2 linked regions of the Oryctolagus cuniculus genome follow. The protein of the gene in region 2 purifies or fractionates together with the protein of the main gene of each other region. This does not show direct contact. Links are inferred from orthologs where the notes say so. Each region holds a gene or a part of one and is shown on either strand. Other genes may lie near its edges.

The links. The genes of interacting proteins can lie anywhere in the genome.
Region 1: the proteins of NDUFA12 (region 2) and NDUFA4 purify together in Homo sapiens (affinity purification with mass spectrometry; 3 studies listed by BioGRID and IntAct, with this or other methods). This does not show direct contact. The link is inferred for Oryctolagus cuniculus from reciprocal best matches to the Homo sapiens genes NDUFA12 and COXFA4.

What each region holds. Positions count from the first base shown.
Region 1 is NC_091447.1:35,093,111-35,097,380, forward strand, and holds the start of NDUFA4 (cytochrome c oxidase subunit NDUFA4), read left to right. Parts: upstream 1-1,470; 5' UTR 1,471-1,598; coding exon 1,599-1,640; intron 1,641-2,508; coding exon 2,509-2,597; intron 2,598-3,256; coding exon 3,257-3,407; 3' UTR 3,408-4,270. UniProt on the Homo sapiens protein: Component of the cytochrome c oxidase, the last enzyme in the mitochondrial electron transport chain which drives oxidative phosphorylation.
Region 2 is NC_091442.1:97,982,590-97,986,578, reverse strand, and holds the start of NDUFA12 (NADH dehydrogenase [ubiquinone] 1 alpha subcomplex subunit 12), read left to right. Parts: upstream 1-1,189; 5' UTR 1,190-1,270; intron 1,271-1,562; 5' UTR 1,563-1,609; coding exon 1,610-1,842; intron 1,843-2,674; coding exon 2,675-2,757; intron 2,758-3,989. UniProt on the Homo sapiens protein: Accessory subunit of the mitochondrial membrane respiratory chain NADH dehydrogenase (Complex I), that is believed not to be involved in catalysis. Complex I functions in the transfer of electrons from NADH to the respiratory chain.

The DNA.
Region 1 (4,270 bases), on a different chromosome or scaffold from region 2:
TTTCAAGCCCAAATACCTTCTCACTTATATCTTACACTGCTCGAGATGAAAATCAGTCATATCCTTCAACTGCACAAGTCCCTAAATTTCTAAGTGCTTTATTTCCTGAAATTACAGCTCCCAAATTGACCGATTAGTTTTTCAACTCTTCATTGCACAATATTGTCAACTGCAGACAATAACTGACACATGCTGTAACATATTCTTTACCTTTTCATTTCCCTGAATTCTCTGATTTCATCAGGGATATTGTCTTCTGATTCACTGAGATAAGTGTTTGCCCAAATGTTCCAGCACTGCACTATATATGTTGCCATACTTCTGGCCTCAAGTAATAGTTACCTTGTGACCTATTTGTCGGCTAGACCTGAATCCAACACTACCTACTTTGGGACTGTTGTGATGACATGTCACCACACTTTCAATGCCAGATTCTACTAGAGCAGGCTAGGCTATGTTCCATCAACAAACGACTACTCTCAAAGTTAGTTTCTTACAACAGTGGAGACCTATTTCTCATTCTAACACAGGTCCACTGCAGGTCAGCACGGGTTCTGCACCCAGCAGTTCTCATCCTGACACCAAAGATAACAAAATAGCCCCCTGTCTAGAACCCTGTGACCTTGGGGCAGAAGGAAAAGGGGAACTACGTGTCGGCTCGTAACACTTACGCTTACATATGACACATGTACCTTTGACATCTGCTAATAAATCAAACTTCATCCCAACGAGGCGGATGAGTGACATCTCTCTCCAGGAAGAGGCGGTATTCAACATCATCTACCACATGTACCTACCCTTACGAAAACCTAAGTGGGCTAAGTGGAAAAGAGCACCGAAAATCCATTTTAAGAGTGCAAGCTCGGGGCCGGGGAGAGAGTGAGAGCCACGTCACGGAGGACCAGGACCCGCAGGCGTAGCGGACACACTGACAGGACTACCGTCCTCTTCGAGTCATTCACCAGCTCCTAACCTCCGCCCCGCGAGCGGCAGTCTCAGGCAGGAAGCAGCTGCAGTCTTCAGAAACCGCAGCCGCTGACCTTCGCGTCCAGAGACACGACCCGGCCTCCCGGCGCGCGGCGTCCGGCAGCCGGAGGCGCGGCGCTGCTCCCTCAGCGACGTCCAGGGCCAGGCAGCGCGCGCCCGGCACGCGCGCCCCCAGCACCTCAGCGCGCGCCCGCGGCTGTCAGGCGCCGCGCGAGAGGCCCTCGCCCGCCCGCAGGCCTCGCGCCTCAACACGTGGCCTCTCAGGAAAGTGCCTGCCTGGTCGAGCGAAGGCTCGTGGAGCCAACCCATGAAATTACCCGTCCAAAATACACACGGAGCAAGAAGGAAGGCTGATTTTTCGCTCTGGCGTAGAATGGTCTTGCCTGGGCTGGTGAGGACCGACGGTGAGCCGCTGTGTGGAAGCAGGCACTGGCGAGGACAGCCGCATCCGGGCCCTCCCGCCGCAGGCTGCCCTCCGAGCCAGGGGTCCTTCAGGTGGGAGGTCCTGGGTGACTTTGGAAGTCCTCACTGCCGTGGTGTGGAGACTGTGTAGTCCCGACGTTCCGGGTTTGTCTGTCTGTCGTTGCGGACTTGGGAGTTTTGCTGCAGTTATGCTTCGCCAGATCATCGGTCAGGCTAAGAAGCACCCAAGCGTAAGTTCGGGACGTCTGGCCAGTGGCTTTGGTTGGTCTTGGTGCGGCTGCTCTGTCCCCTGGGAGCGTCCTCCCTTTCCGGGCACCTGCTGTCTGCCTCGGGGCCAGACCTTGCCTCACCTTACGCTGCGGTTCTGGTTGTCCCAGGCCCGTGGGCTGTGAGCCACGCCACGCTTTGCAGGCTCTTGGCTGACGGGCCGAAGGTGAGGTCCAGGGTTGGAACAGTCGGGACAGTCTCGCGCGGCCCTTGTCTCGTGCGGTCGGTGCAGCAGGGACAGATGGATTAGTGACCCCCTGAGGGACCTTCCCTGTCATGCCTCCTCTGGAGGGTCTTGTATTCACCGCATTGCACCACCAGGCCCTGTGGCAAGTACGAGGGGCCCAGGATCTTGGTGTCTTTACCTTCTCTGGATGCCTTGACATTTTGGGAATTTGTAGCGTGGAGTTTACTTGCAACTTCTTCTGTGTCTCCTTTTCTTCCAGCAACCCTCTGTGGGCCTAAAATTGAATTACGCATTCATTAATCTTACCTTAAGCCCAGTTCCCTACTCAGAATTGGTAGCAGTATGTTTTCATAGATGATGCTCACAGCCAGTATTAGCAGTAGACATACTTCTGTTGCAGGCTCCTAATTTCACAGAGATCTTGGTTTTCATACATCTGGTTGGAGGGACACTTAAACAGTTTGCAAGAGCTGTTTTTTCAAACCTCAAAGGACCCATAAAATTTAATGAGAATGATGTGTAAGTATTAGGTGAAAAAACTTGGTACCTCTGCAGATGCAAAAACTACTGTAAGCTCTTGTAAGTCAATATCTAGGTACTTGAAGATGGTAGTTGATTCTTGTCTGTTTTGTGTTTGTTTCTAGTTGATCCCCCTCTTCATATTTATTGGAGCAGGAGGTACTGGAGCTGCATTGTATGTCATGCGTCTGGCATTGTTCAATCCAGATGTCAGGTAAGTAAAAATGTTCAAAACTGTGATGGTTTATCAAGCTGGTTTAGGAGCCAGGGTTTTTGTTTGGAGACAGTAAGTACTAGAACAAACCTAGATTTTGTGACCATGTAGTAAGTTCGCATCCCTGTTTTGTTGTCATTTACTTTTCCTGACTCATGAACTTGTAGTTTCATGTTCTTACTGGTATGGTAGAATTGCAAATACCAAATTTTATAAGAATGTTTTGAGGATTGACATATTGTTCTTATGCAACACTTATATTTTCTGGTACATGCAAATATTTTTTGCCTGCTTTTCCATAATACATAATGTTTCTTTTTGTAGTTGGAAAATAATAAATGAGGTTCATTTAGCTTTATTCTCTGTACTTTTCTATGTATTGCTTGACTGATGATATATAAATGTTTAAGTTGTACTCTTTTGATGGGAATGGGGACAAGGACACCTGCCCCAAGAGACTCTCTTACCATTTTTATAATTGACTACATAGGGCTGTTTATTATAGAACTCATTGCTGTTTTGACTCCATAATGAAGGTAACAATATACTGTTTAGTGGAAAATGAGATAGATCCATTCAAAATACTAGCTTCCTAAGTACAAAACATTATTTTAATTGGAATGATTACCGTAACAATTATAATGTTTCATTCCTTGCAGTTGGGACAGAAAGAATAACCCAGAACCCTGGAACAAACTGGGTCCCAATGATCAATACAAGGTAAGCTACTGTTGTTACAGAATTGTTGGAAAATGTGTGGCGATAAATATTTATGTGGTATTTTTCTCTGGAAATTGGATATATAAGTAAAATTCCTTTACTTTGAAGACTTGCTAGATTGCTCTTGAAATTAAAATGGTGTATTATTTTTATAAATACTTTTTTCCTAGGGATTTCATTTCCAGTCTTTAGATGTTGGATATGAAATTAAGATAATGTGTCAAGTAAACTGTTTTGACTGAGATTAAAAGGAAAAAGATATTTACCATTTTTTAGTTTCGAGATAGTCCGGTGCAAACTTTGTTGTCCACAGAGGTTTTCAAAAGGAGAATTTCTTTAGTTCTTCCCTCAGACGTGCTGAGTCAGTTGGTCTGTTGTGGGCACTGAGGATTTGTATTTCCAGGAGATGCAGGTCCTCCATGGGCTATACTTTCAGTATTACTAAACTGTTGGGTGGTTTGGTTTGGGTATGATTGAAGTTTAGTAAGAAAAAATGAAAGTCATGTGAAAGTCAAATTTTACCTTGAATTCCTAAATAAGCCTTAACTGTCTACCTGAGTGTTCTGTGGAACCACTCTTCCTTAGAAAGATTTCATGGACTAAGTCCATGTATTGATTCCCCAACATTATTTTCCTTATGTGTAAAAATCTTGCATACAAATCCTTTCACAGTCATAGATTTTATCATATTTAAGTATTGAATACACATACCAAACATTTCTACCTGTTTAAAGTGTGTAGCTTGACCATGCACTTACATCGAACTTCTTCATCAAAAGAGAGTAACTGGAACTTTGCTTTAGCACTCTTGAATACTGCCCTGACCAGTATGTATCCAGGACCTCTTAGCAGATATATGAAATGGATATTCTCATTACTGCTTACAGCATATTTTTAAGATCAGCCTTTTTGTCCAAGTTTTCTACTTAACTTGATTGTAACTTAACTTGTAA
Region 2 (3,989 bases):
CCATATAGAGCACCTGGTCCAAGTCCCAGCAACTCCACTTCCAATGCAGCTTCCCGCTAATGGGCCTCCGAGGCAGCAGATGATGGCTCAAGTACTTGAGGCCCTGCCACCCACATAGGAGACCCAGATGGAATTCTGGCTCCTGGCTTCAGCCTGGCCCAGCCCCAGCTGTTGTGGGCATTTGGGGAGTAAACCAGTGGGTTCCTCTTTTTGTCATTCTGCCTTTAAATCTTTTTTTGAGAAATTGTGGTACAGTCATCCAGTGGAATACTATACATCAAAAAAGAATATGTTAACATGAGTGAATTCCAAAAATACAAGGCATGCAGATTGCAAGCCTAAAACATGCGAAAGAATAGAACTGAACTAGTTTATTGAAAGCAGGGAGAAAATAATACATTATCAATAGGGTACTTACGTATGCAGTTAAACTGCTGTTTTAAAAGCAAGGGAAGGGGCCAGTGCTGTGGTGTAGTGAGTTAAGCATCCACCTGTGGTGCCAGCATGTCATATGCGTGCCAGTTCTAGTCCCAGCTGCTCCACTTCCAATCCAGCTCCCTGCTGATGGCCTTGGAAAGCAAAAGTTACACAAGAAACTTTATAAGAAGTTTAAATAATTATGTCCATAGCAGAGTGCCTAGCTCAAGACCCAGAATTCAATCATGGTCTGTCACATGGGTGTTTAGACCCAAGTACTGGAGCCATCACCTCTTGCCTCCAGGGGTGCACATTAGCAGAAAGTTGCAATCAGAAGCCAAGTTGACTCAAACCCAGACACTCAGATATGAGATGTGGGCATCCCCAGCAGCACCAAATGCCCACCCTGTGGGCTTCTTAGGAGCATTTTGTTCTCTGTATTTAGGGAATGGGAGGAAGGAACTGTTTTACAGTGCAAAAGTTATTACACAAATTTAAAACACGTTCATAATTTAAATTCCAATTTAAATAGCACTTCAAATACATTTTAAAGCTCCATAAATTCGAGCTGAGTTGCAGATACGCAATTCTATGCAAAAACACATAATGAAACAGAATTCTGTCCCAAATGATAGTAACAGTGCTTTGCCAGGGTGGGAATGGGGTGGAAAGGGGACTAAACATTAACAAAGGCTTCTTTCCCCCATGCGATTTGCCAGGAGTTGAAGAGTTGTGAATCTTGAGCAGATCTGATTCATGTTCACCTTGCATTTGCTATTCCTCCTCACTCCCATATCAACACATCGCTTATCCAAGGGTACCGCAGGAAGTTCGTGGAAAACGGAATCGAAAGGTAAGTTTATTATGGAGCAAAAAGTGTCTGAACTCCACGCATAATTCCATTCTCCACGAATTTTCTGAAGTACCGTCGTTTGTAAGCAATATCGTATCGAATACATAACGTCCGTATGTGGTCACGATCTACTTCCTTACATCTTGTTTCCAAAGACGCCTGGCGCACTGGGAAAGACTTCTGCAATCGTTTCAGCCAGTCATCTTTCCCTATCTGGGGAAACCTCGTCTAGGTGAGCTTTCCACTACATTCTCGCCTCTGTACTCAACCTCTAAAAATTTAAACTTTACAGTGCCTTTGCTTCGGAGGGAAACCCGCAGCGCCTACTTCGGCCCCCCAATGGTTACCCCGGGAGTTCCAGCTCTGCGCACGCGCAGAGCCACTTCTACGCCGGGCGTGCGCAGGAACCTTCTCAGCGGCGGCGTGGCCGCTTCCGCCCGGCGAGTTTTGCTCGGGGCACGCAGGAGGCGGGGCTTGCCGGACAAGATGGAGTTGCTGCAGGTCCTGAAGCGGGGGCTGCAGCAGGTCAGCGGCCACGGCGGCCTCCGGGGCTACCTCCGAGTGTTTTTCAGGTAGGCAGCGGGAGCCGTGCTCGTGGTCTCCGGGACTTGGACTTGTTCTGGTTGGTTTCTTGGAAGGGGGCCCAAAGTTGGAACGCCTTTCAGAGCCGACAGTTGTGGTCAAGGACAGCTGGCCCAGTCTCTGCTTTGCAGCCCCCGGCCCAAGGCCCCGAACCTCCTCGAGACGGGGCCGAAGCCACCTCTAGAGACAGCTGTGACACGGACTGGGGGGCATCCGGCCCCTGGAGACTAAGTAGCATTACCGTTCACTTGGTGACCTTGGGAAAGTTTTTTCCCTGTCCTGGCCTTGGCCTCCAGTTCCTCTCTATGGTAAGGCTCTGAAAGAAGTGATCATGGTGCGCCCTACAACACCCTATCGTCACTGATCCGGTCTGGGCAGCCTGCTCCGCAGAAACCGAATTGGTGACCCTGAGTGGAATGGAAGAGCCAGGACACCTCGTGTCATTTTAAGAAGATGAAATACTTTGGCCTCCGGATATCTTGACGGTTTTGCTGCCTCCAGTGTCTCATGGGGCAGGGAGAGCAGATGAGATTTGAAAATAGTGCATTTCTGTTGTAATTTAAGCACGTTCCGTGTCTCCGTTTACCCTTTCCGGTTCTGGCTGCCTGACCCTACCACGAGTAGGGGAGCTGTCAACCTGGCGGCTGATTCTTCCACAGTGGGTGCCGAGAGCCTGGCGAGGAAGGCTAGCCGGCCCAGCAGTGACCGTGCCCACCCAGTTTCTAGTTGATGAGGCCGACTTGGGGTCAGGGAGTTGTATTCTCGTTTGTGTTTTGAACAAAGAACCACTCTAAATACCTGTTTTCTTTTGTGTATTCACAGGGCAAATGATGTGAGGGTTGGTACCTTAGTGGGGGAAGACAAATACGGAAACAAATACTATGAAGACAACAAGCAGTTTTTTGGTGAGTGTTGTATTTTTTGTCATGAACTATTGGATTGGGATTTGATTTGGGTGTTTTTTCCATAACAGTAGGAACGTTTACAAAGCACTTGGAAATGAGTGAAAAACTCAATAGAAAATGGACAAGAAAAACAAACTAAATGGCCACCAGAGGCATGAAAGATGCTTATCCCCACTCACAATTACAGGAATGCAACTTCAGAAAAGTGTTATCTTTTTTTCACCTATCAAATTTCGAAGTATCTCCCAGTGCGAGGAAAAGCATAAGAATACATCACTTAATGCTGTCTTTTTAGACAACAATTTGGTAACACATACAAAAAAAAAAAATTTTTTTTGACAGGCAGAGTGGACAGTGAGAGAGAGAGAGACAGAGAGAAAGGTCTTCCTTTTGCCATTGGTTCACCTTCCAATGGCCGCTGTGGCCAGCGCACTGCGACCGGCGCACTGCGCTGATCCGATGGCAGGAGCCAGGTGCTTCTCCTGGTCTCCCATGCGGGTGCAGGGTCCAAGGACTTGGGCCATCCTCCACTGCACTCCCGGGCCATAGCAGAGGGCTGGCCTGGAAGAGGGGCAACCGGGACAGAATCCAGCTCCCCGACCAGGACTAGAACCCGGTGTGCTGGCGCCGCGGGTGGAGGATTAGCCTAGTGAGCCGCAGTGCCGGCTAACACATACAGAATTTTACATTGGGTATATCCTTTCTCTCAGTACTTCTTCCAAGAATTCAAGCTATAAATATTCTTGCAAAAACAGAAATACCCATTGCACCATGATTTTAGTAGTAAATTCTAAAAGTAGCTTTAGTGTATTATCAGTTGGGTACTGATAAATTTGCACATTTCTTGTTAATGTCTCTAAACCTCAGTTTTCTCATCTTCAAGTAGAATGATCATATTTGCCCCAGAAGGTTGTATTGAAAAACAGCCATTTAGCCTGTGGTTAAGACAATATTGAAGATGTGTGTGTCCCATGTGGGAGTTCCTGGGCTCAGTCCTCAGCTCCATGTCCTAATTTTAGCTTCCTGCCAGTACAGACCCTTGGGAGCAGGAGTCATGGCTTCAATAATTGAATCCCTGCCTGCCACGTGGGAGACGTGGATTGAGTCCCCAGCTCCGAGCTTCGCCTTGGCCCAGTCCTGGCTGCTGGGAGCATCTGAGCAGTCAGCCAGCAGATGGGAGCTCTGCTGCTCTGTCACTTTGCCTTTGGAATAAAAAATGAAGAGTGAGTGGC